4 linked regions of the Arabidopsis thaliana genome follow. The protein of the gene in region 1 interacts with the protein of each later gene in a pairwise test. Each region holds a gene or a part of one and is shown in the gene's direction. Other genes may lie near its edges.

Region 1 (7,968 bases):
TCTGCTAGACGGTCACAGACTCCTTGGGCTCAAAGTTCATCTGAGAACTCTTGTTCTGAATTGTCTTTCGTCAACCCCAGCGAGCAACTAACGTCCTTCTATGGGTCAAGGTTATCTTCGTCCATAAACGTTGGAACTACAAATAAGCGGGTAGCACCCGTAGAGGAGTATCCAATGAAGAACCATAAAGTCCCCAAGTTGCTGCCAATGCAAGGTGGCTTAAATTATGTTAAAGAATTTCTTTGCAGGCCAGCAAATTAGGAAATCACTAATCTAGGAGTCTAAGGGTATATAGCCTTGTATTGTTTGAACCATCCCTTGTGTGTTTTATGAATTATTTGGTGTTAGTGCCTTACTCGGAATGAATTGTTGTACATGATTGCCTTGTTTAAGTCGTACAACACCAAAAGCTTCTAGATCCGTATAAGCATGCGAGTCCCCTCTAGAAATTCTGCGTTTGTTCTGTATACTACTATGATTCTATCTGGAATATCTGGATCATCTAGCTAGCAATTAAAGAACATAAATCGGCATCAAGATAAATTTGTTCTTAGTGTCATGTATCAATTTGGAATCCATAAACATTCTTATATGCACGTTATTCAAGATCACCAGGAAGAATCTTGAGTGAGATAGTAAAATAAAGAATATACTCCAACAGACCCAAAACAAAAAAGGATCAAACTGATGCAAAGAAGATCTGATTCTCATTTGGTCTTTTGTTTTTGGGTTTTATCCTCATTTGGTCTTTCTTCACAAATCCTTACTTATGTGTCTCATTTTTTTCATTTCTGTGTTTTTATCTAAAACACTTTTAAAGAAGTTTTTGAAAGAAGTACTTATATGTGACTTTTTTATTAAAAAAAATAAGGTTTCTCAATTTTTCCCTATCAAAAGAATTGGAATCTCTAGATTTTAGATAAAACTTATTATGCATATATAAAAAAAAATTAAAAAAACAACGCATTTAGACTTTGCAGTAGTCGAGATGCATACAAAATTAACCAGAAGTTGTATTCAGCAGTGGTCAATTTTTTTATAAAAAAAGAAATTGCCAATGATTAAACTGAGAGCTTGTTACCCGTTAGAGTACTTCTAAATGGCTTTAAACTTGCATCTAACAGAAATTAAACTAGAGATATTATTAGCTGGTGAAAATAACCATAATTTTTTCCCGCAAAGATGAAACAAAACATAAGTCCTTCCAAATGTTTGAAATGACTTGGCACAATTTAAGATAAGTTTTGACTTTTGACTAAATGATTAATAGTAAATGCAATTACTAATTACAACGAAAGACAGGGAGGTATGGAACAAAGAGAGTTTCCATTTGTAAACGAATAGTTAATGTGAACTGTGACAAGGGTTGTGGATGATTATGACTATTCGTATGATTAGTCACCATTCCTTAATTTCTTGTTCCCTCAATTAAGTTGTCTTCTCATCATTTTTTTTTAAAATATTCATCCTGAATATAACCAACAAACAAAAGGTTCGAGTATCTATAAATTCCGCAATGCAATCTAAATTGGACTACTAGTGAGATCTGCAACAGTGAAAAGAGAAAACAAAATGGACTTGAAGAGGTTTTGACAATGCCAGAGATAATGCTTATTCCCTAATATGTTGCCAGCCAAGTGTCAAATTGGCTTTTTAAATATGGATTTCTGTATCAGTGGTCATATTTGTGGATCCAACGTATTCATCATCAAGTTCTCAAGTTTGCTTTCAGTGCAATTCTAATTCACACGTTTAACTTTAACATGCATGTCATTATTATTACTTCTTCACTAAGACACAATACGGCAAACCTTTCAGATTATATTATCTCCATAAATGAAATAATTAACCTCATAATCAAGATTCAATGTTTCTAAATATATATGGACAAAATTTACACGGAAGATTAGATACGTATATTAGTAGATTTAGTCTTTCGTTTGTGCGATAAGATTAACCACCTCATAGATAGTAATATCATTGTCAAATTCCTCTCGGTTTAGTCGCTAAATTGTATCTTTTTTAAGCCTAAAAGTAGTGTATTCGCATATGACTTCTCGTCCTAACTTTTTTTTTAATTAACAAAAAAATCGAAAAGAAAATAATCTGTTAAATATTTTTTAAGTACTCCATTAAGTTTAGTTTCTATTTAAAAAATGCTTGAAATTTGACAGTTATGTTCAACAATTTTGAATCATGAGCGATGTCTAGATACTCAGAATTTAATCAAGATGTCTTATCAAATTTGTTGTCACTCGAGGACCCACGCAAAAGAAAAGACTAATATGATTTTTATTTGGTCTGGATATTTTTGTAGAGGATGAAACTAAGAGAGTGAAAGATTCGAAATCCACAATGTTCAAGAGAGCTCAAAGCACAAAGAAAAATGAAGATGAAGGACTAAAGAACAATAAGCAACTACTTATACCCTATTTCCCATAAAGGATTCAGGTACTAGGAGAAGTTGAGGCAAGTTTCACATGCAAGTCCCTGTCATCATATATCCATATTATACCACACCTACGTCTCTATGTGTATTTCTTGGCATCGACTTTCTCATGAATGATTCAAATTTTCATTTATTTTTACAATTTAATTCACCTAAGATTATTATGCATTTCTCATCATTGGTACATTTTCTGTATAGCGTATTTACATATATGAAATAAATTAAATATGTCCTCACGTTGCAAGTAGTTAATGAATGTCCCCACGCAAAAAAAAAATCCCTCCAAATATGTCCACCTTTTCTTTTTAATTCCAAAATTACCATAAACTTTTGGTTTACAAAAGATTTCTAGAAATTGAGGAAGATATCCTAAATGATTCATGAATCCTTCAATAATCTGAAGTTTGCGATATTTTCCGATTTTCTTCAAGAGTTGCGATATTTGTAATTTGGTGACCTTAAAACTTTTTTTGATAAAGAGTAAAACGTTTTTTCTTAAAAGTAAAACTTGATTTTATGTTTTAGGGTTCTAGCTCAACTTTGTATTATATTTCTTGCAAAAAGAGTTCGTTAACTGCATTCTTCAACACTATAAAGTGATTATCAAAAACATCTTCATGAACATTAAGAAAAACAATATTTGGTTTCGGTTAGAGCTTGGTTTTGCTTGGCTTGATTCACATACCCATTCTAGACTTTGGCATAAATTTGATACGATAGAGAGCATCTAATGGTAATGCAGAAGGGTAAAAAAGGAAGAGAGAAAAGGTGAGAAAGATTACCAAAAATAAGGAGTTTCCAAAAGATGGTTCTGATGAGAAACAGAGCCCATCCCTCTCCTTTTCCCCTTCCCATGAAAGAAATCGGATGGTCCTCCTTCAATGTCCTCCACCTACTCTTCTCTTCTTTCTTTTTTTCTTTCTTATTATTAACCATTTAATTAATTTCCCCTTCAATTTCAGTTTCTAGTTCTGTAAAAAGAAAATACACATCTCACTTATAGATATCCATATCTATTTATATGCATGTATAGAGAATAAAAAAGTGTGAGTTTCTAGGTATGTTGAGTATGTGCTGTTTGGACAATTGTTAGATGATCTGTCCATTTTTTTCTTTTTTCTTCTGTGTATAAATATATTTGAGCACAAAGAAAAACTAATAACCTTCTGTTTTCAGCAAGTAGGGTCTTATAACCTTCAAAGAAATATTCCTTCAATTGAAAACCCATAAACCAAAATAGATATTACAAAAGGAAAGAGAGATATTTTCAAGAACAACATAATTAGAAAAGCAGAAGCAGCAGTTAAGTGGTACTGAGATAAATGATATAGTTTCTCTTCAAGAACAGTTTCTCATTACCCACCTTCTCCTTTTTGCTGATCTATCGTAATCTTGAGAACTCAGGTAAGGTTGTGAATATTATGCACCATTCATTAACCCTAAAAATAAGAGATTTAAAATAAATGTTTCTTCTTTCTCTGATTCTTGTGTAACCAATTCATGGGTTTGATATGTTTCTTGGTTATTGCTTATCAACAAAGAGATTTGATCATTATAAAGTAGATTAATAACTCTTAAACACACAAAGTTTCTTTATTTTTTAGTTACATCCCTAATTCTAGACCAGAACATGGATTTGATCTATTTCTTGGTTATGTATTCTTGATCAGGAAAAGGGATTTGATCATCAAGATTAGCCTTCTCTCTCTCTCTCTAGATATCTTTCTTGAATTTAGAAATCTTTATTTAATTATTTGGTGATGTCATATATAGGATCAATGGAGGAAGGTGGGAGTAGTCACGACGCAGAGAGTAGCAAGAAACTAGGGAGAGGGAAAATAGAGATAAAGAGGATAGAGAACACAACAAATCGTCAAGTTACTTTCTGCAAACGACGCAATGGTCTTCTCAAGAAAGCTTATGAACTCTCTGTCTTGTGTGATGCCGAAGTTGCCCTCGTCATCTTCTCCACTCGTGGCCGTCTCTATGAGTACGCCAACAACAGGTACGCTTCTCCTACTCTATTTCTTGATCTTGTTTTCTTAATTTTAACTAAACAAGATCCTAGTTCAAATGATAACAAAGTGGGGATTGAGAGCCAAGATTAGGGTTTGGTTAATTTAGAAAACCAGATTTCACTTGTTGATACATTTAATATCTCTCTAGCTAGATTTAGTACTCTCTCCTCTATATATGTGTGGGTGTGTGTGTAAGTGTGTATATGTATGCAAATGCAAGAAGAAGAAGAAAAAGTTATCTTGTCTTCTCAAATTCTGATCAGCTTTGACCTTAGTTTCACTCTTTTTTCTGCAAATCATTTGAACCTGATGCATGTCAGTTTCTACAATACACTTTTAATTTTGACGGCCCATCAAATTTCCTAGGGTTTACTTCAGTGAAAAAAATTGGGTTCTTGACACGATTTAGCATATATATATAAAAATAGGGGATGATCAAGACTTATGTAACCTCTGTCTGGTGAAACTAGGGACAAAGTCTACTGATGAGTTGTCACTAGGGATCCATTTGATCATTTAATCCCAACAAAAATGAAACAAAATTTTGAGAATTTATATGCTGAAGTTTTTCAACCCTCTTTTTTAAATAACTTTATATTATGTAGATTTGTATTTAGGGTAATTTGTCCAACTAGAAGTCCTAAAAATCAATAAACACACGGATGACTTTGTCTAACATTGTTATCAGTCATCAAATGTAAAATTGTACAAATAATGAAATTAAAGATTTAGTCTCTTTTATTTTTTTTGTTTAGGGTGTATATATATATATATATGTATATTTGTTGCATTGATATATCAATGAGAGGGAGAGAACTCAGAGAAGTGTCGGAAATTAAAATGGTACGAGCCAATTGGAATCTCTGGCATTCTGAGCTTCATTTATTTGTTATTAGAAAAAAAAAAAAAAAAAAGTCCTTTAAAGATACCTTCATGATGACATTGAATCATGTAATATACACGATACATGGTCTAATTCCTCCTCAAACCCTAATTACCAATTTCGAAACCATAATATTTACTAGTATGTTTATATATCCTTACTTTAAGACATTGTTTGTTTATAATACCTTGTGAATTAAGAAAAAAAAAAAAACTTGTGGATCTATTCAAGCCATGTGTTAGAATAAATTTATAAATTTTCTCCTCGTACTGGTCAGATATTGGTCCAAACTCCAAAGCCTTCCCTTTTCAGGAAAAAAAACATTTCGAAATTAACTCTAATTAATCAAGAATTTCCTACAATGTATACATCTAATGTTTTTTCCGCGATCTTACTTATTAGTGTGAGGGGTACAATTGAAAGGTACAAGAAAGCTTGTTCCGATGCCGTCAACCCTCCTTCCGTCACCGAAGCTAATACTCAGGTACCAATTTATATTGTTTGATTCTCTTTGTTTTATCTTCTTCTTTTCATTATATATATGATCAACAAAAAATATAACCTACAAAAAGAGAGAGTTCTTGGAAATGCATTGAAACGGTTTCGTTATGGTGTTTGAATACATGGATTTTTGAAGTACTATCAGCAAGAAGCCTCTAAGCTTCGGAGGCAGATTCGAGATATTCAGAATTCAAATAGGTAATTCATTAACTTTTCATGAACTCTTCGATTTGGTATTAGGTCACTTAATTTGGTGTCGGTCCAAAAGTCCGCTTGTAGTTTTCTTTAGAAGTTGTTTTGTTTAATGTTCATGTTTACAAATTGAAGGCATATTGTTGGGGAATCACTTGGTTCCTTGAACTTCAAGGAACTCAAAAACCTAGAAGGACGTCTTGAAAAAGGAATCAGCCGTGTCCGCTCCAAAAAGGTAAAATCTACGTTGCTCTCTCTCTGTGTCTCTGTCTCTCTCTCTATATATAGTCCCTTAGTTTATATAGTTCATCACCCTTTTGTGAGAATTTTGCAGAATGAGCTGTTAGTGGCAGAGATAGAGTATATGCAGAAGAGGGTAAGAACGTTTCTCCCATTCCAAGTAATTAGATCTTTCTTCGTCTTTGTGAGGGTTTGAGTTTTCCCATAAATCATGTGTAGGAAATGGAGTTGCAACACAATAACATGTACCTGCGAGCAAAGGTTAGCCACGTTCTGTTCCAAATCTTAATCTCAATATCTACTCTTTTCTTCATTGTATAACTAAGATAACGTGAATAACAAGAAAACTTTTGTTTTTGGGTTTAATAGATAGCCGAAGGCGCCAGATTGAATCCGGACCAGCAGGAATCGAGTGTGATACAAGGGACGACAGTTTACGAATCCGGTGTATCTTCTCATGACCAGTCGCAGCATTATAATCGGAACTATATTCCGGTGAACCTTCTTGAACCGAATCAGCAATTCTCCGGCCAAGACCAACCTCCTCTTCAACTTGTGTAACTCAAAACATGATAACTTGTTTCTTCTCCTCATAACGATTAAGAGAGAGACGAGAGAGTTCATTTTATATTTATAACGCGACTGTGTATTCATAGTTTAGGTTCTAATAATGATAATAACAAAACTGTTGTTTCTTTGCTTAATTACATCAACATTTAAATCCAAAGTTCTAAAACACGTCGAGATCCAAAGTTTGTCATACAAGATTAGACGCATACACGATCAGTTAATAGATTTTAAGTGCCTTTTAATATTTACATATAGTTGCAGCTTCGATTAGATCATGTCCACCAAACACTCACAATTAGAGACAAGCAAAACTATAAACATTGATCATAAAATCATTACAACATGTCCATAAATTAATTATGGATTACAAAAATAAAAACTTACAAAAGATCTATAATGTGATAAATTAATGTGTAGCTATAATTAAACAAAATTACATTTTTTACTATAGTTACTACTTGAGATAATGATCTCAAAAAGAAGCTTCATACGCTTAAAGTCTAATTTGATACTGTCCTTTATCTAAATTACTGTTTAGTATATGGACATGAGAGAAATATGAGCAGAGGCTGAAGGCTTAAACCTTCTTCCCTCTGTTCTCTCACACAGCCGCAAGTATTGGCTTCATCACTCAGTTTTCTCTTTTCTTTATATTTGTTTTCTAATCTGTTTTTTAGTCTCAGTTCATGATTTTGCATTTTCTAACGAAGATGTCGGAGGAATTTACGTATCTATACCAAAGAGATCGTACCTCAGGGTTACTGATCTCTAGCCACGGTTTTGCTGGACCGCTGAAATGTAAAACCGAAGCAGATTTCAGAATCTCTTGAGGGGATTTTACGGATCGAGAACCTAGTCCAGCGACGTGCCATGATGGTTCAAGAGACTGTGTAAGTCCTTTGAAAGCAAGTAATGTCGGTGGTAAAGCCCCTGGTTGCCATAATTGTAGTCCTGACCTAACACTCTGCATTAAAATTAAACATCAGAATTTGTGTAACTAGTTAGAGTACGGAATACATAACGCAAAAACTGAGATCGTTCTATATTTACACTCACGAGTCTTAGCCATGTAGAGTAAGCTTCAGTAATATTGGTTTGTCTCCAGGCTTTGAGAT
Region 2 (4,810 bases), on another chromosome or scaffold:
CTTGTCATGAAGATACGTTCATCAATGTGACTTCTCGGCTCCAATGATCATGATCCAACATTTTGTTTTTCCGAGTTAGATATAGACTTAATTCATTGTAAATAGCTTTTTTCTCTTTCTTCTTGAAAGAGTACTTGTTCTAAAAGTTTAGAGAATGGATGCCATTTTTGTGCAACCGACACGACATGTCAATACATTTTGGAATGATCTTTGAAAACTAAAGACCACACCATTTGAAGAACCTTTCATTATAGTTAAATCATGGTTAGAAAAGTATATGTTTCCCTGTTTATCATCCGGATCCATGCCTCAATGGTAGCACGTCGAGTTCAAAATCCCGATCACTTTCCGGAAATCTCTTGTTAACCGCTATCTTCAGATTACCCCAATATCTAGCTAAAGATATTACATAACGAAATGCTTGCAAGTGCAGTTTCAAAGACATGCAAGAAAATCCTTTTGGTGCCATTGAGGCTTCCAGTAATCTTTTTTGCTTACATATAAGACTTTCCATCAAATGCAATTCTTAAATTTTATAGATATAATTTATCCAAGAAGTAGCGATCAACATCTCAATTCTTGACACAGATTAAAGTCTCATAAAACAAACTTAACTTGAGACCACAAACAGAGTTTCACAACAAGCATACGGTTTTCAAAATACATAAAACAGAAAATAAGTCTGATAAAACATTCTTAAAATGAGACCAACATAGAGAGGTTCCACAACTAGGAGATACTTTCCAAGATCTCAGCTCTTGTTTAGTTGATAGATAAGCGTGGGATACAGAAGTCAACAAGCAGACCTGTTGGCTCTTTCACCTGAGACTCCTCGCCACCACCAAGCTGGACAAACATACGGCTCAAACACACTTTGACAAATGAAGTCTTCTTCTTGTAACATATCTTCACAGTAGCAACAGTTTTTCCCTCGGACTTATTCACTGCAACTATGATGACATCCCTAAGTCCAACATAGCGTGATTCCTTACGAGACAGGCTAGACAGGCCCTCGTAAACTCCCTACCACACAAAAAAAAAAGGTTGAATAAGATTAGATCAAAACTTTGTCATTGATCTTTGAAAATTTCGAAATTTATCTCACAACACTTTACCTCTCCAACATTATCAAGGTCTGGACTGAACACATGGAGTCTTGCACCCACCGGTTGTTTAATCAACAGCTTAAACGCTTCATCCAAACTCTTAGTCTCAATCACTTCTCCTTTCATGGGCACGCGGGGTATGTGACAAGCAAATGGGGGAGCCTTGAATGTACATCCCACATGTGCCCAATGTTCTCTTCTCGGTAGCCCTTTCTTGAAAGCACATTCAAGGCAGTCTTTGACAGTGAGTGGTTGCTCCCTCTCCCTGCACATCTTACCTCTTATTCCAGACATTTTCCACCATATACTGATGCAAGTTTTCGATAGTGAACTGAGAGCTTGGTTCATCCATTTCTCCCTGGTCGTCTTCCTTCCCAGCATTATCCACCAAATACTGAGCTGAGACGCATCTGCAAGACAAAAAAAAAATGAAAATGTTGTAGTCAATTCATATGACTCTTTCAAAGGATTAGACTATATTAAAAAGGGAGTAAACTACTATCAGCTAAAATCAATCACAGTATCTCTTAACGATGCGAATAAAGTAATGTTCTCTAGAACAAGATTTGATTCATTTACCGTAATCTTCTTGCTCACTACTTGCTTTTACGCAATCTGGATGACAGAGGCCACGCGTCTTTGCCATAGATTGCATGAATCGCTGAATCATATTCATCTTCGATTACTTATCCCTGGTTTCAAGTAGAATCCAGCAGAAGAACACATTCAGAAATCCAGTAGAGTCAAGCAGATAAGGCAAAAGGAAAAACAAAAACAAGACCTAACTAGCGAAAACCATAAACATGGTTTCAAGTTTTGACATAAACACAACCATTTCTAGTTGCAGAGGAAAAATCGTCGAACAAGAAGCTTTAGAGTAAACCAAAGTAACAATGATAGCTTCCATTAACAAAGAACAACTCTAACGTTAAAAAGGATTCAAATCATTCATCCAAAAAAAAAAGTTCAAACCCTAAAGTTTATCTCTGTTCACTAATAGCACTGAGAAAGGCCAAGTCACGGAGTAGAATCGGTAACAAATCCAAAACAAGCTAAAAGAATCCAACAGAGAGAGAAAATTGAGAGAAATTACCGGAGACACAGAGAGACGAGAATCAGAAGGAGAAGACATTCGCAATCGCCGTCGCGTCGAGAGAAACTCAGAGAATGTTCGCGAAACAAACTCTCACAGTCGTCGCGAAGATTTCCCCTCAGCTTTGTCCCGAAACGTGTCGCCTTTTTAAGACTTCAACTTTAGTCCTCAAGACGACGACGTTTGAAACTTTCCTTAAAACGTTGCCGTTTTTATGACATTGCCAATGTTTTTAAAAGTCTTTTTAACAACATCGTTTTTGCCTGTTTATTTAAGGGCAACAATTATAGTTTAACAACAATTTTCTTTTAGGCTCCAATGATGATGATCCAACATTTTGTTTTTCCGAGTTAGACATCGACTTATTCGTTGTAAATAGATTTTTTCTCTTTCTTCTTGAAAGAGTACTTGTTCTAAAAGTTTAGAGAGTGGATACCATTTTTTGTGCAACCGATCACGATCATGTCAATGCATTTTTTGGAGAGCAAGAAAATATTTGAGGCATAAGCTTCTTCAAGTACTAATACAAGTATCTCTCCATATCAGAAGAGCAAGAAATCTTCCAGTCTTTGAACATTATTTAGATAAGTAAAAGAATAATCTTGTTTTTTAGTTTGTAAAAAGATATAAGACAAAATAAGTTTAAAAAGAAAATAGTAGACAAAATATCATACGCTAAAACCAACATTACAAATTTGAAAAGAAAAAATGTGATATTGGCTTACTTATCTAATTTTAAGAATATTGGCTTTGAATTACATGGATATATTTCCTTTTTAAAGAATCGTTTTCCTAATATATTAAAAATCCTTAAAATCCACATATATATACGAAATCACCTTTTCTATTTGTCTACCTGAAAGTTTCAAGTCTTCAACGCGTTTATTATTGTTTTTCAGTTTTGCTCTAAAGATCATTTGTTGTTCCCCTTGGATTATTGCTATAATATATAGATCCTTAACTTTTTGTCTGATTTGCGTTTTCTTTGTCTCATAGAACAAGAAAAGAATATGTCGATGGTTAAGTACTACGATAAAGAGGAACATGTTGGGTTTTGGTTTCATCCTTCTGCCCAAGAACTCATCATCCGTTATATCGGGCCTAAGGTTACCAAAAGATCAAATAAAGAATTTGAATTAGAAGACAAGTTTGACATCTATGCCAAAGAGCCGTGGCGGTTGTCTCACACCGAGACTAACTTTTTGGAACCTAATGAATGGTTCTAGTTCGTGAAAGTGAATCATCTCTCTGAAAACGTTACTGGAAAACGCATCAGCCGCAAAGTCAAAGGAGAGACGGTTGATGGATGTTGGAAAGGCCATGGGAAGTTGAGTGATGTCGTGTTGGAAGATACCGGTGCAGTGATTGGGAAGAAGTCTAAGTTTCTACGTCAAAGGTGAGAGACAAGCCAGTGGTTGGACCATGACAGAATACTATCTCGAAAACGGTGGCTCATTATTCCATGTTCAAGTTCTCTGCCACCTTAAAGGACCATGATTATGTGTCTTGGTAAATTTTCAGTGAAGAGGATAATAACTTCTACTTCTATCTTATTTTACTTCAATTTTGTGTCTAGTTTGATATTTCCCTTTGCATAATTTATTTAAATTCCTCATAAAAACTTTAGGAAAATCTCGTATATTCTTGTTTATTTAAAGACATGTAGATCATTATTTTTATGAGGAGTTTGTAACTGCTCACCTTCTTGTTTTCACAAACGAAAAAATATTTTCTTGTTTTGAGGATCAAAGAGATTATCTCATCTAATATATGAGATATTAATAATGATCAGGCCCATCCATGCCTATGAAGGAAAAAGAGAAACTTTGGCCTACGAAATGGATAAGAAATTGGTTAAATTAATGGGAGATTTGCAAAACTATATTTTTTGACTACCTTTTTGCCATAATACTCTTTTATATTATTTATTTTTAAAAATATCTTTTTTCTTGAACAGAATGACCAAATTACCCTCATTTAATAATAACAAGTACTTGGAAACTTTCAATTTCCCGCCAAAAAAAAAAATTCCGGCAAACTTTTTTTCCCGCCAAAAAAAAACTTTTCCGCCAAAAATTTTTCTCGTAAAATTTTTTTCCCAGCCAAAAAATGCTTTTAAAAAACCTTGTAAATTTTTTAAAAACTCTTTAAAAAACCTTGTAAAGTTTTCTAAAAGCTTTGGTAGTTGCTAAAAACCATTGTAAATCATTTTAAAACCTCTTAAAATCTTTATAAAGTCTTTAAAAACATAGGTAAATACTTTAAAACACCTTTTTAAATCTTTGTAAATCATTTTAAAGCTTTTTACAATAGTTTTACAAGATTTTCAATCGTTTTTAAGCATAAATAAGAAGCATTGAATGATTTACAAGGGATTTTAAAAGCTTATAAAAGGGTAAAACATGATTTACAATCGTTTTTAAAGCATAAGTTAGTGGCATAGAATGATTTACAAGGGATTTTAAAAGTGTTTGTATGGTTTACAATCGTTTTAAAGCATAAGTAAGTGTTATTGAATGATTTACAAGGGATTTTAAAAGGGGTTAAAATGATTTACAATCGTTTTTAAAGCATAAGTAAGTGTCAAAGAATGATTTACAAGGGATTTTAA
Region 3 (6,370 bases), about 16 Mb from region 1:
GAAAATCAATTAAAAACCTAAAACTAGCCTGATGTTTTCCGAAGGTAATGTATTTTGAAAGAGCTAGCCAAAGCAAATCTCAATAGTATAAGTTACCAAAGACCGTGCGTAAAGAGGAGCAAATAAAGCGTTGAAAAGCCCATGAACATGATGTAGTGGGAGGCAGTGGAGAAAATGATCAGCAGATGTGTACTCCCAAGCTTCAGTGAGCATTCTAACCTGCAACATATACAAGCTTCTAGCTTATAAGGTACATCATAATTTAGATACATGCAGACCATTCTATTGCAGGTTGGGTAGATTTGAAACATGACATGCGCTACATAAGGAGGTCGGATATATACCTGGGAATTGATGCTGTTGTGAGTATGAACAACTCCTTTTGGCTTACCAGTTGTACCACTAGTGTAGACGATCAATGCTGGATCATCTGCACAAATAAAGGCTGAAGTGATGCAGAAAATCCAGACCAATAATTGCTTGAGGTAAGGTGGCAAAAATTAAAAGAGCAGCCTTCATTATAAGTTCACCATCTCAAGTATATTCAAAAACTTACCTAGAAACTTTCCTTCTGCTTCAAAACTGTCATCCTGAAACTGATTGCAAGCAACAGTTTCCGAAGTTGAGTTAACAACAGGAGGAATAAGATGAAATCGAGCACCACTCTTTGCTGCGATGGTTTTCATAGTTTCACTATGGTCCTCTGTGCTCAATAACAGAGATATATCCTAGAAACCGAAGACAACGAGGTTAGATCCCAAGAAAATGTTAATCATTTTTTCTCGAGAGTAAAAAGAGCATAAGGCACACTTATTTTGTGAAACTTGAATGTGGTAGAAAACAGAGCAAACCAGAAAACTTCTGCCTTTTAGAATATTTTCTACTTTGTTCTACAGAGTACCCTTTTTAGTCTATGGAAAAAGACCTAATGCTAGAAAAACCAAGAGCTTGGATCAAAATTCTGAGATCACAAAAATAAGATCAAGAATACCTAACAATTGAGCCGAAATTAAAGCACAAGGAAATAGGAAGGCAAGTAGATTCCATACCGAATCATTCATGACATGTAAGAGTTCAGCCTCAGGATAGCTGAGTGCAAGTGGAACCGCTACACCACCGCTAAACCATGTCCCCAGGACTCCTGCAACAAACTCAGCTGAAGGTTTTGCCACAATTCCGATTCTAGCTCCTTTTAGACTACCAAACCCTTCATACTTCTTAGTTTCTTGACCTCCCTACGAAATTTATAGAAGACAAAAAAAGTCAATAACCATAAAGCTGTAAACAAACTGTGTGATAGCTTCAAGTAGTAGATATAGTAGCTACAATTTCAAACCAAAAACCATACATTTGTCGTATCATCTTTTAAGAACAATTTAGATATCCTCAAAGCAGACGATGTTAGCTGGCCATAAGAGTAACTCTTTCCATCGGCTTTAATCGCAATCCTATCACAAGAATTAGACGCTTCTGAAAAAGCTGCTTTAAACACTTCCATGAGTGAACCAGACTGTGAAGCTGCAACATTTTGATTACATAGATAAAATTCAGATTAATATATAGAAACTACATGTACAAAAAAAGAACAGATTGAGTTCCTTGGAGATGCTGCAAAATTTTCAATATAAATTCAGATCAAAACAACAACTTGTTCAGGTTTTTACGGATCATCAATGTTACTATATGGAAAGCACGAATCTTTAAGACATTTCGTCGAACATGTAACATGCAAAAACCAAACAAAGGTAAAGAAGAAAACTTACAGAAGAGATGGTTAGATTGGAAGAATCGAAACCCAGAATTGGAAAACGAAGTAGAAGCTGGGTGGGATCGAGGAAGAAGAGGAGAGGAGAGAATAGCGTAGGAGTTGTGGTTGAGTCGATGGTTAATTAAAGACAAGTAGTTGAAACTCTTTAATGTTGTCGTAGCGGTCATTTTTAGGTCTGGTTCGTTAAAAGGTTTCGACTTTTTTCGCAAGTCGTACAGTCAAATTACGTAGCCGTTCTTCTTAGGTGGTGGTTGCAATCGCCAAAAGAGAGCCTTCGTGTCGATCATGAAATAGCGACTGAAGCGTTTGGCGACTTTGATTCAGTGGAGAGTTTGGCACGTGGCGTGTTTTGATGATTAAAAGTGAGTGACAGGCGATAATGGGTTATTCTTTAATGACGCTTTATTAGGCATTTTTTTAAGGTTAATTACTGATTTGCTTTTTCTCATTTATTTGTGTTGTGAATTTCTTTCTAAGTATATTTACACAAAATTAAAGACCATCTGAATATTGCATTTTGAGTGATGTGATCCTGACCGTTGATGAATAACAATTGTGGTTAGCTAACATCTTATACATATGCTTTGATATGCATTGATTTTATTATTGTGAAGTTTTGAACTCTAGAGGAAGATTCTATTTAATGCCAACATGCAATTAATAACTTTTTTTTTATCAGTACCTTTTAAAGGGAGTGTACATCTTAGGTCTCCGGTTTGAGCATTGGAGAAGACTAATTTTGTTATATTAAATTATTAATCATGAAATTAGATTTCTTTAATCCAACTCCATCTTCGTCATCAACACATCATCATTCCCTCCAAGATCACTCTCTCTCGCTTTTGAATACCTTCGCGTTGTTCACAGAACCTTTTTGTTTCTTAGAAAACCCCTTGGAGCTGGCCAAAAAAAAAATCGAGAGAGAGACAATCATTCATCGTTCCGAATTAGGATCCAGCATTCCATTTTTGTTCTGATATCTGTCAGCCATGGCGACTCTCCGATACACTGATCTGATCTGATCTATGAATCGACGCTTCTCTGAGGATTCCTCACCGTTCATGCTCTAATCGGTTCGCCAAATTGAGGAACTAACTTGTGTGGCGACTATAATGTGTCAAGGACCGATATGACAGGAAACGCAGATTCCGGCAAAATCGCGACAGAGAAAGACCCTAGGAAGCTCGTTTTCACCAAATTGGAGGTATCTCCCGTCTTCCGAGAATCTCCTGTTAAAGAACTTCCTCTTTTTCCTCCGATTTCTCGGTATTGTTCCAGTTTCTCTGCCAATTTTCACTAGAGATGCTTCTCGTTTGAGTAATTTCAATCCAAAATCTACTCTCTGATCTCCACTGGTCTTGATTTTGAAGCAGAGAGCATTCAGAAGCAAAGGATAAGACAGATGAAGAAGGCATTACTTCGAGGAAACACAAAGGATGTCGATGCAAGCAGTCCAAATGTTTAAAGTTGTAAGTTCATTTCAGGATCCAAGAATTACTTAGTGTTAAGCTGATAGAGATTTGAGTATAATGTTGAATAGTGAGATTTCTATTATCTGCTGTAGATTGATGCATTATTGGATATTTGTTTGACGCTTGGTTATTAGGTACTGTGACTGTTTTGCATCAGGAGTGGTATGTACAGACTGTGATTGTGTTGATTGTCATAACAACTCTGAGAAATGTGATGCTAGAGAAGCAGCTATGGTGAATGTACTAGGTCGCAACCCAAATGCCTTCAGTGAAAAGGCTTTAGGTAGCCTAACTGATAATCAGGTATGTTCTTGACACCTATCACTTTTGTAGGTTAAGCTTCAAAGAGGTATATTTCACATCCTTTTTCATTTGTAAGTATCTGGGATGTTCTGTGTTTTGTATTGTAGTGTAAGGCTGCACCTGATACTAAACCTGGACTGCTTTCGAGAGGCTGCAAATGTAAAAGAACCAGGTGTTTGAAGAAGTACTGTGAGTGCTTTCAGGCTAATCTTCTGTGCTCAGACAACTGTAAATGCATCAACTGCAAGAATGTTAGTGAAGCGTTCCAGCCTCCTGCATTTTCTGCTCACAATTCCCCACAAGTATACCGGAGGAGAAGAGACCGAGAGCTAACTGAGGCAAGTGAAATATACTACTTGCTTCATAACATATATGCACTTTTGGGTTTATCTCCATAAAACTCATTTTTCTGTCCGGAATAGCAGTGGAATTCTTGTCCAGCTCCGTTATTTTCGATACCTGACAATTCCATTCAAAATGCTCTGGGTTCCCCTATGTCTTGCTCTCCTAAACTTCCTTACAGGTTCGATTTTGCATTTCCTAAAATGATAGTTCATCTTCCTTCACCTCATAATCATAAATATTTTAACTGAATTTTCATTGTGCTACTAGAAAGAAAAGGTCCCTCATGGGATACACCTCTACACTTCTTCCGGACTTGGGAGATTTATGCTCACTTCTCGTTGCAGCGTCAGAATCTGCTACAACAACTGCAGGTATATCTGTAGTCTCTTACAAAATCTACACTTTACTGGATCTACTATTCCTTTGGCTTCATCAACATACTTCCTTTAAAATCTCACTTAGAGGACCAGAACAGGATATTTACAAAGCCTGATGATAAGGAAGCCATTGAGCTGTCAAGTGAGTCTGAGAGTCGTAATGTGGAAGAAGAAATACAATCACGTGGAAGATTGATCGAACTGATAGATGTTCAATACAATGGAGAAGAGGATTCCCAATGTAAGACCAAGACAAGTGTCAATGAAACAGATATATACATGGAGCAGGAAAGGGCAGTGCTTGAAACTTTCAGAGACTGTCTCCAAAAGTTCATCAAATCGAGACTGGAATCATAACAGGTAATAATTCCATCTCATTTTGATAATCCCTCCATCCTCAAATAAATCCAATTACTGCACTTTTTTGTTGCTATTTATGACAGGTAAGGTTCATACAAGAAACAGAGAGCTGAACCATAGTTTCTTGATTAGGCATGGAGCTGAGACAGATCAACAATTTTAAACACGAACTAACCATTTGAAACCGCATTAAACACAAATCAATATAGGACTGGTGATAACGACATAACTAAATTTACTCCTCCAGCTTTATGATAATGAATAACCAAATTAATAGAGCGATGACTGATTAAATACTAGTAAGACATTTTCTTAATCTAAAATATTTCTCACTCCCAAATAGCAACCTCCATGAATCCATCCTCAGTTGCACATCCCCTGAACATCCCATTAGAGTTAAAACCACAAACCACCTCTCCTTTATTCGAGACAGCAATGAGTCCAGCGAACCCTTCGTCAAGTCGATGCTTGATGACGTAATCAACCGCTTCTTGGAGGTTAAGTCCTTTATACTCCATAACAGCTGACACATCACGAGCTAGGGTTGCTCTTATAATGGCTTCTCCTTCTCCGGTACACGACACACCACAAAACTCCGACGCATACGTCCCGGCTCCTATCAGCGGCGAGTCACCAATCCTTCCCATCATCTTGTTCATTAAACCACCCGTGGATGTCCCGGCGGCACAATGTCCTTTCCCGTCAACCACAACGCACCCGACTGTCTCCGGTGCGTAAATGCTGATCGGAAGACCGTTCATTTGGATTGGACTGTCGGTCGCAGCTGCACCGGCACATCCCATCGGCGGAATCCGGTAATCAAACTGGTGAGAAAGCAAAAAAAAAGAAAAAGTTGAGGATACAAAATAAAGAAAAACGTACGATGAATAAATGGACGGTGGAGATTTAAGTCAAAAACGTACCAAGATGGAGTTAGCTTCCTTGGCCAACTTGAGCATTCCTACGTTGTCGTCCGTGACAAAGTACTCGTTGTCCACAATTTCAACTCCCTTCTCATTAAACCGGCTTCGGTCAGAAGATTTATCTAACCAAGTGGTTTAGAATAAAAAGTGGAAGGGTAAAATAGTAAATAAACACCTGTTTGCGGGCGAAATCCTCTGCACCTGAGAAAGCAAGGTAAGAGTGGGGAGATTTGTCCATGACGAGACGAGCAAGAGATATAGGATTTTTCACGGTGGTTATCCCCGAAACGGCACCGCATCGTCTCTTCGTACCGTCCATAATGCTAGCTTCCATCTCAACCGTTCCTTTTTCCGTCAAAGCAGATCCACGGCCTGAATTAAACAGAGGATCCGTCTCCAATTCTCTAATCTGTGTTAATCAATCGTTTAGTATATAATTCAACAAGAACACCGTAAGAAATCATTGTGGGGAAAGAGAACGTACGACGAGCTCAACGACGTCAATGGCGGAGACATTGGAACGCAAAGCTATTATGCCGAGGTTGAGACAACGAGTTAAAAGCTGTTTAGCCTCTTCTTGTCTCTCCGCCGGAAGATTAGGGTCGATACCGGCACCACCGTGTACTGCGATTGCCCACCCACCCATATTCTCTCTCTTTCTCTTTGTTTTATTTATGTGTTTCACAGTTAAACCGAGAATGATGGAAGAAAGAAGAGTCGCATTAGGTCATTATATAGGCCTTTTACGAGCAAGGAGAGACCCACATTTTCTTATTTATTGATTTACCTCTTAATTTTTAAAAACATTTTTTAATTACCCCA
Region 4 (5,325 bases), on another chromosome or scaffold:
TTGTATGATATTAATGTTTTTACGTACGTGTAAACAAAAATAATTACGTTTGTAACGTATGGTGATGATGTGGTGCACTAGGTGTAGGCCTTGTATTAATAAAAAGAAGTTTGTTCTATATAGAGTGGTTTAGTACGACGATTTATTTACTAGTCGGATTGGAATAGAGAACCGAATTCTTCAATCCTTGCTTTTGATCAAGAATTGAAACCGAATCAAATGTAAAAGTTGATATATTTGAAAAACGTATTGAGCTTATGAAAATGCTAATACTCTCATCTGTATGGAAAAGTGACTTTAAAACCGAACTTAAAAGTGACAAAAGGGGAATATCGCATCAAACCGAATGAAACCGATATGAAACCGCATCAAACCGATATAGCGTGAACCAAAATGTGGATTAATGACATTTAGACCGGAGGAACATAAGTGGGGACTATACGGCATCGTTTTAGTGTATAAGTGAATTCGCATATTCACGAGTTCCCCGTATTCACCGGTTGTTATATCGTCGATTCATCGTCGTCGACGGCGAGTACTTGTGACCTCCACACCCAGATTAATCTTCTATAACTGATTTTATCGCTTAGACGATCACGATCTCATCGATTAACTGTGAGTATAATCGATTCCTCCTCTTTATTTTGTGTGTTGTATCGATTTACGATAATTTTTTGGAGGAACATCTCCTTTCGGATCGGTTTTGTTGGGAATTTATATTTCTTTGCCATGGTTTTATCTTGATTTGGTGATTTACCTTGTGTTTGTTCTGGTGTACTATTTAGCTAATTTAGTATAAGCTTTCAGATGATTCTAGGAAACTTTTGTGCTACTGTTTTCGGTTTTTGGTGATAGAACTATGTAGTTTTAAGGAACCATATAAAAATTTCGTCTAGAAATGTTTCTATGGTTACTGATCAGTCATCAGTGGTAGCGATATGAAATTGGAATCCTGTTTTTTGTTACACGGTTCGATTCAGATGCTTTCGATTCAAATCCTGTTTAAGCAGCTCAGGTTCTTTAGAATTCTTGTTTTTTAAATGCTTCTTGCCTGAATGTAAGGGATTTTTTTTGCTATTGCTTTGGTTCCTGTGATTGTTTTTCTTACCTCCTCTGATGTTACATGATCAGCATTTGTGAATTTGGATTCTTGGAAGCTAACACAATTCTTAGGATTAAGTTTCGTATGGTCTGAGACTTTGAGTTCTTGACGTTTGGTCTGAGGAACTGTTGGAACTCATTGATTTTGTATCGGTTCTGTAGCTTCAGTTCGGACTTGATCATCTCAGGAATTGGAAATTGTTTTTTTTTGATGTTACAATATTTCGGAGTCAGATAATTTTCAATTTCTTATTTTGTTTATCCCAGTCAGAGGTCATTGTCGAAAAAGTACGGATTGATCTGGATATAGCATGATGGTTTGAGTTGTATAAACTGGGTTACTGAGCTGTTCAGATTGTGCTAGATTCTAGTTTTACTTTGATGTTTGGAAATTATGTGCGCGTCTTTGTGTTAGTGAACATTACACACTGAAACATGAAAATCCATTTGCTTTGTTGAGACTCCATCTAGTTACAACTGATAGCTATTATTGGTATATTTCTTATGGTTTGAGCTTGTGATCAATTTTGGTGGGGTAAATGGGATGTTAATATTGCTCTTGAGGAATATATGTGTTGATCATGACAACTACGAAATTGTGAATAGTTCATTGATTTACTAGATTTTGTTTATTAGGCTCGCTGAGTGATTTCTTTTACATGCTCTACAACTTCTTGGAGAATGCTGTGATCGTCTATGCATTTCTATTCGCAGCTAACTTAAACTCTTTTACATAATTTTTTACTTTAAAGGACAAATGAAGCATATAGTAAAGATCTTGAGCCTGTTGGTGGCTATCTCTGCCTTCTGGATTGGTCTTTTGCAGGCTGCAATTATTCCTCGAAGCCATACATGGTTGGTGAGTAACAAACAATTTTGTCCTCTTTTTTGGTTTCTTGCTTTTTTGAAATTAGGATTCTGTTCTGATTTGGTATTATTGCCGGTCTGTCTTACAGCTACCGATCTACTTTGTTGTATCCCTCGGATGCTATGGCCTATTAATGGTTGGAGTCGGGCTCATGCAGTTTCCTACTTGCCCCCAAGAAGCAGTTCTGCTGCAGAAGGTACTTTTGAGACTAGCTCTTTGTTTGCCATAGTCGGCCTTGTTCTTATTTTTCATCCTGCTCTATACGGATTCGTGTTATCTAATGTTGACATCCTTCAATATTTTTGCTAATTTAGTGTCTTTTATCTGTTTCTTTGGTTGCAGGATATTGCAGAGGCTAAGGACTTCTTCAAGCACAAAGGGGTAGATGTTGGATCGAATTGACACAAAGGCTTTTATCAGACCATTCATCAGAGATATTTTTCGTTATTGACAAAAGACTTAACTGTACTGTTTGGAATTTTTGAATTTAACAGTGTCACTGAGGTAAAACGCAAAAGCTTCGTATGCATCCAAAAGTAATCGCAAAAGTATAACAAATATTCCAAATTGCAGAAACTTATTAGTAACAATAGAAGCATTTACATTTTCTTGTGGTGAATTACCATAAAGCTTTGGCCTTTGTGTCTAGTAAGTTCTCCAGGTATGCAAAAGAGATCGCATCAACAGATTGAATCAGGCTATCCTCTGTACGAAAACTCTGATATGCAACACACCAAGAAGGTATTAAGTCGCTCATAACTGAGTAGGTTTCAAAAGATACAAATGAAACATTTGGAACCAAACCAGTTTTTAAAAGATACTAAGCAGGAAAATCAAAAGACACTGAACCAAAAAGATCATAAAGATATGACTTTGATATTCAACTTGCATTTGCCTTCTCCTTTCTTTATCTGTCCACAACAACACCTAATTCAAACCAGCTGCTTTTCTGTGTGTTTATGGCTCTCCTTTCGTTCAACCATGCCACAGTTCTTTATGCCTTAAGAATACGCTCCTCTATCGACAATGCTAGCACATTCAGCTCTTGAAATCTCTTATCAGTCTTGTCATTGTTATCAACATCACCTTCACCAAAATCATTGTTTCCCTTTTCAGAGTACTGCTCATTGGATTTCATAGTTTCTTCACTTCTGATGCTATCATCATGAAGCAAACAACAATCCTGTCCCTCATTTCCATCCCCTACAGCGATGTGAATGTTTGACTCATCAGATGACTTCAGAACCTTATGCTTATATGCTTTTCTTGTTTCATCTCCATTCGTGCATCCAGAAGCAAACTTTTTATGAGGGCTAGATTTTTTTTGTTGTTGTCTGCCTTTAATGCTAGCACCTTCTCATGCATTGATCCTTCCATCAGCATCTTCCTTCTCTGCTTCATTACATCAAACACTTTGGTTCGAGCTTGAGCTCTCCTCTGCTGACCCTTCAACAACTTTGTTGGAGCTTTTTTTTTGTGTTTGATCTTTTCTTCTTACTGTTTATGGTTGTTTGTCTGATATTGTTGTTGTTGTTTTGGTTAAGGAGGATGTGGGTGCTTGTGTTGTATTACTCTCCAAGTACGATCCTGTTTTTCTTCTTCTTTTCTCTTCTCTCATGCATAATCTGATTCTGAATTTATAGTGTTTGTGTTGATATTTGATGATAACAGTTGTGATTAGATGCAATAATCTTGATGATCTTAATGAAAATGTTTGTTTGGTAAAAATTAAAAAAATTAAGTTTGACCGAGTCACATGATAATACCGACATTAGTATTATCTAATCTCTATATATTTGTGCTTTGCCTCTACTCTCTTTTCACTCTCTCTTTTTCTCTCGATTCCATTATCTCTCTCTGTAAGACACAAAACAAACCCTAATAATGCAGTCGTCGAACGTAACTGATTGCACAATGAGGAAAAGAGGAACAAAAAGAAAGATTGAAATTGAGAAACGCATGACTAAACAACAACGATCCGTCGCTTGCAGCAAACGCCGTCCCACACTCTTCTCCAAAGCGGCTGATCTTTGCCTTCTCTCCGGAGCCAACATAGCCGTTTTTGTAACTTCTCCTGACGAGAACTCCGATGTCGTTTATTCATTCTCGGGCTACTCTCATGCCTCTGAAATTGTTGACTGTTACCTCAACAACAAGTCTCCTCCCAAGACTACTATTAACCCTGAATCAGCCAAGTTTTGGTGGGAAGAGCCCGATCTTTACCGTGATTGTGACGATCTGTCTGAGTTAAGAATCATCGAAGATCGTTTGATGAGAACGAAGAAGCATCTCATGGATTATCTTGAGAAGAAAGAAAAATCACACTCTGTTTCTAAATCCGATCAAAACCCTAACAACGACAGTGGGTCTTCTTCTTCGTCTTCTCAAATTGCTTCTGATTTTGGTCAAAACCCTAGTACCTTGTCTCCGTCTTCCTTAAAAATTGTTTCTTTTGATCAGAACTCTTACTCCTCACTTGAGCCTTCGTCACAAGTTACTACTTGTTTTGATCAAAACCCTGTTTTCTCTGTTGGCAGCGAGTCATCATCTGATCAATCTCGTTACTTGGTGAATGAAGATTCTGGATTTGTTGACGGCCTCTTATGTGAAACAGAGGAAGAGAATAACGGAATGCGTCTTCCCCAAGAAACACAAACACAACCGATGTTCACAGAGGAGGATCAGAGCTTTTGGGAAAACCTAGATGTCGACGACGTGTTTGGTCTTTTTAAGGACGACAACAATCTTGAGGTTCCTCTTCAAGATCATTCCTCAACCAACGAAGACGACGAGTTATTGATCGACATAAGTGAATACTTAAGCGAAGAAGCAATGGAATGCCCATGTTTTAGTTAGTTCTCACAGCTTGATTAAGCACGATCTCATAGTTAATTACGGTTTTAGTTAGTTCATTAGGTAATTACCATTTATGTTGTTGTGTGTAACGATCTATAGATATCTGTTTTATCTCAACTCTTTTGATTCTGTAATTTCGATTTTGGTTATGGCTGTGGTTAGTGAGACTAATTGTGGTGAATTACAATATCTTTATGTTCCCTTTTTAGGCATTCTTTCTTGTCTAATGTCAATGGATGATGCCAAAAAGAAGAAGTAGAATGGTGAAAACAAAGTAGCTTAGGGTTGAAAGAGACGATGTTCTATTTGAAACATTGTTACACCTGCAAACACCTTTGTGTTCTTCTCAGAAAGTTAAAGAGATTAAAAGCCATAAAATCTGATGAGAGAGAGGGAGGGCTTGGCTTGTTTTATCTCTTCTTCTTGCCACCTTTGCCTGACTTTGAAGAAGTTCCAGAGGTTGAAGTTGTGGCCTGAGGTTCCTGCTTCTTCGCTTTCTG

Evidence for each region.
Region 2: the proteins of SHP1 (region 1) and AT5G18037 interact in a two-hybrid assay, tested with the Arabidopsis thaliana proteins (one large-scale study listed by BioGRID).
Region 3: the proteins of SHP1 (region 1) and AT3G16160 interact in a two-hybrid assay, tested with the Arabidopsis thaliana proteins (one large-scale study listed by BioGRID).
Region 4: the proteins of SHP1 (region 1) and AT1G48150 interact in a two-hybrid assay, tested with the Arabidopsis thaliana proteins (one large-scale study listed by BioGRID).

The regions. Positions count from the first base shown.
Region 1 is NC_003074.8:21,734,923-21,742,890, forward strand, and holds SHP1 (K-box region and MADS-box transcription factor family protein), read left to right. Parts: upstream 1-3,237; 5' UTR 3,238-3,853; intron 3,854-3,960; exon of another isoform or gene 3,961-4,209; coding exon of another isoform or gene 4,210-4,227; coding exon 4,228-4,454; exon of another isoform or gene 4,455-4,994; intron 4,995-5,343; coding exon of another isoform or gene 5,344-5,381; intron 5,382-5,550; coding exon of another isoform or gene 5,551-5,587; intron 5,588-5,752; coding exon 5,753-5,834; intron 5,835-5,987; coding exon 5,988-6,049; intron 6,050-6,178; coding exon 6,179-6,419; intron 6,420-6,502; coding exon 6,503-6,544; intron 6,545-6,652; coding exon 6,653-6,844; downstream 6,845-7,968. Other genes in the region: AT3G58770 (uncharacterized protein), read left to right, coding at 1-261; GAUT15 (galacturonosyltransferase 15), read right to left, coding at 7,533-7,817, 7,910-7,968. UniProt on the Arabidopsis thaliana protein: Probable transcription factor. Interacts genetically with TT16/AGL32 in a partially antagonistic manner during flower development. Is essential for the coordination of cell divisions in ovule, seed coat development and endosperm formation.
Region 2 is NC_003076.8:5,969,928-5,974,737, reverse strand, and holds AT5G18037 (NAC (No Apical Meristem) domain transcriptional regulator superfamily protein), read left to right. Parts: upstream 1-3,171; 5' UTR 3,172-3,209; coding exon 3,210-3,425; 3' UTR 3,426-3,637; downstream 3,638-4,810. Other genes in the region: SAUR22 (SAUR-like auxin-responsive protein family), read left to right, coding at 1-47; AT5G18040 (target of trans acting-siR480/255 protein), read right to left, coding at 763-1,023, 1,116-1,516, 1,686-1,782.
Region 3 is NC_003074.8:5,471,618-5,477,987, reverse strand, and holds AT3G16160 (Tesmin/TSO1-like CXC domain-containing protein), read left to right. Parts: upstream 1-2,640; 5' UTR 2,641-2,897; coding exon 2,898-3,034; intron 3,035-3,141; coding exon 3,142-3,237; intron 3,238-3,374; coding exon 3,375-3,543; intron 3,544-3,650; coding exon 3,651-3,881; intron 3,882-3,968; coding exon 3,969-4,066; intron 4,067-4,155; coding exon 4,156-4,259; intron 4,260-4,350; coding exon 4,351-4,622; downstream 4,623-6,370. Other genes in the region: AAE13 (AMP-dependent synthetase and ligase family protein), read right to left, coding at 97-219, 345-430, 557-728, 1,050-1,235, 1,349-1,518, 1,764-1,935; ASPGB1 (N-terminal nucleophile aminohydrolases (Ntn hydrolases) superfamily protein), read right to left, coding at 4,955-5,449, 5,549-5,635, 5,724-5,957, 6,033-6,194. UniProt on the Arabidopsis thaliana protein: Plays a role in development of both male and female reproductive tissues.
Region 4 is NC_003070.9:17,781,544-17,786,868, forward strand, and holds AT1G48150 (MADS-box transcription factor family protein), read left to right. Parts: upstream 1-3,853; coding exon 3,854-4,825; downstream 4,826-5,325. Other genes in the region: DPMS3 (dolichol-phosphate mannosyltransferase-like protein), read left to right, coding at 1,859-1,960, 2,058-2,165, 2,312-2,371; AT1G48145 (plant mobile domain protein), read right to left, coding at 2,964-3,269, 3,323-3,370; AT1G48160 (signal recognition particle 19 kDa protein, putative / SRP19), read right to left, coding at 5,236-5,325.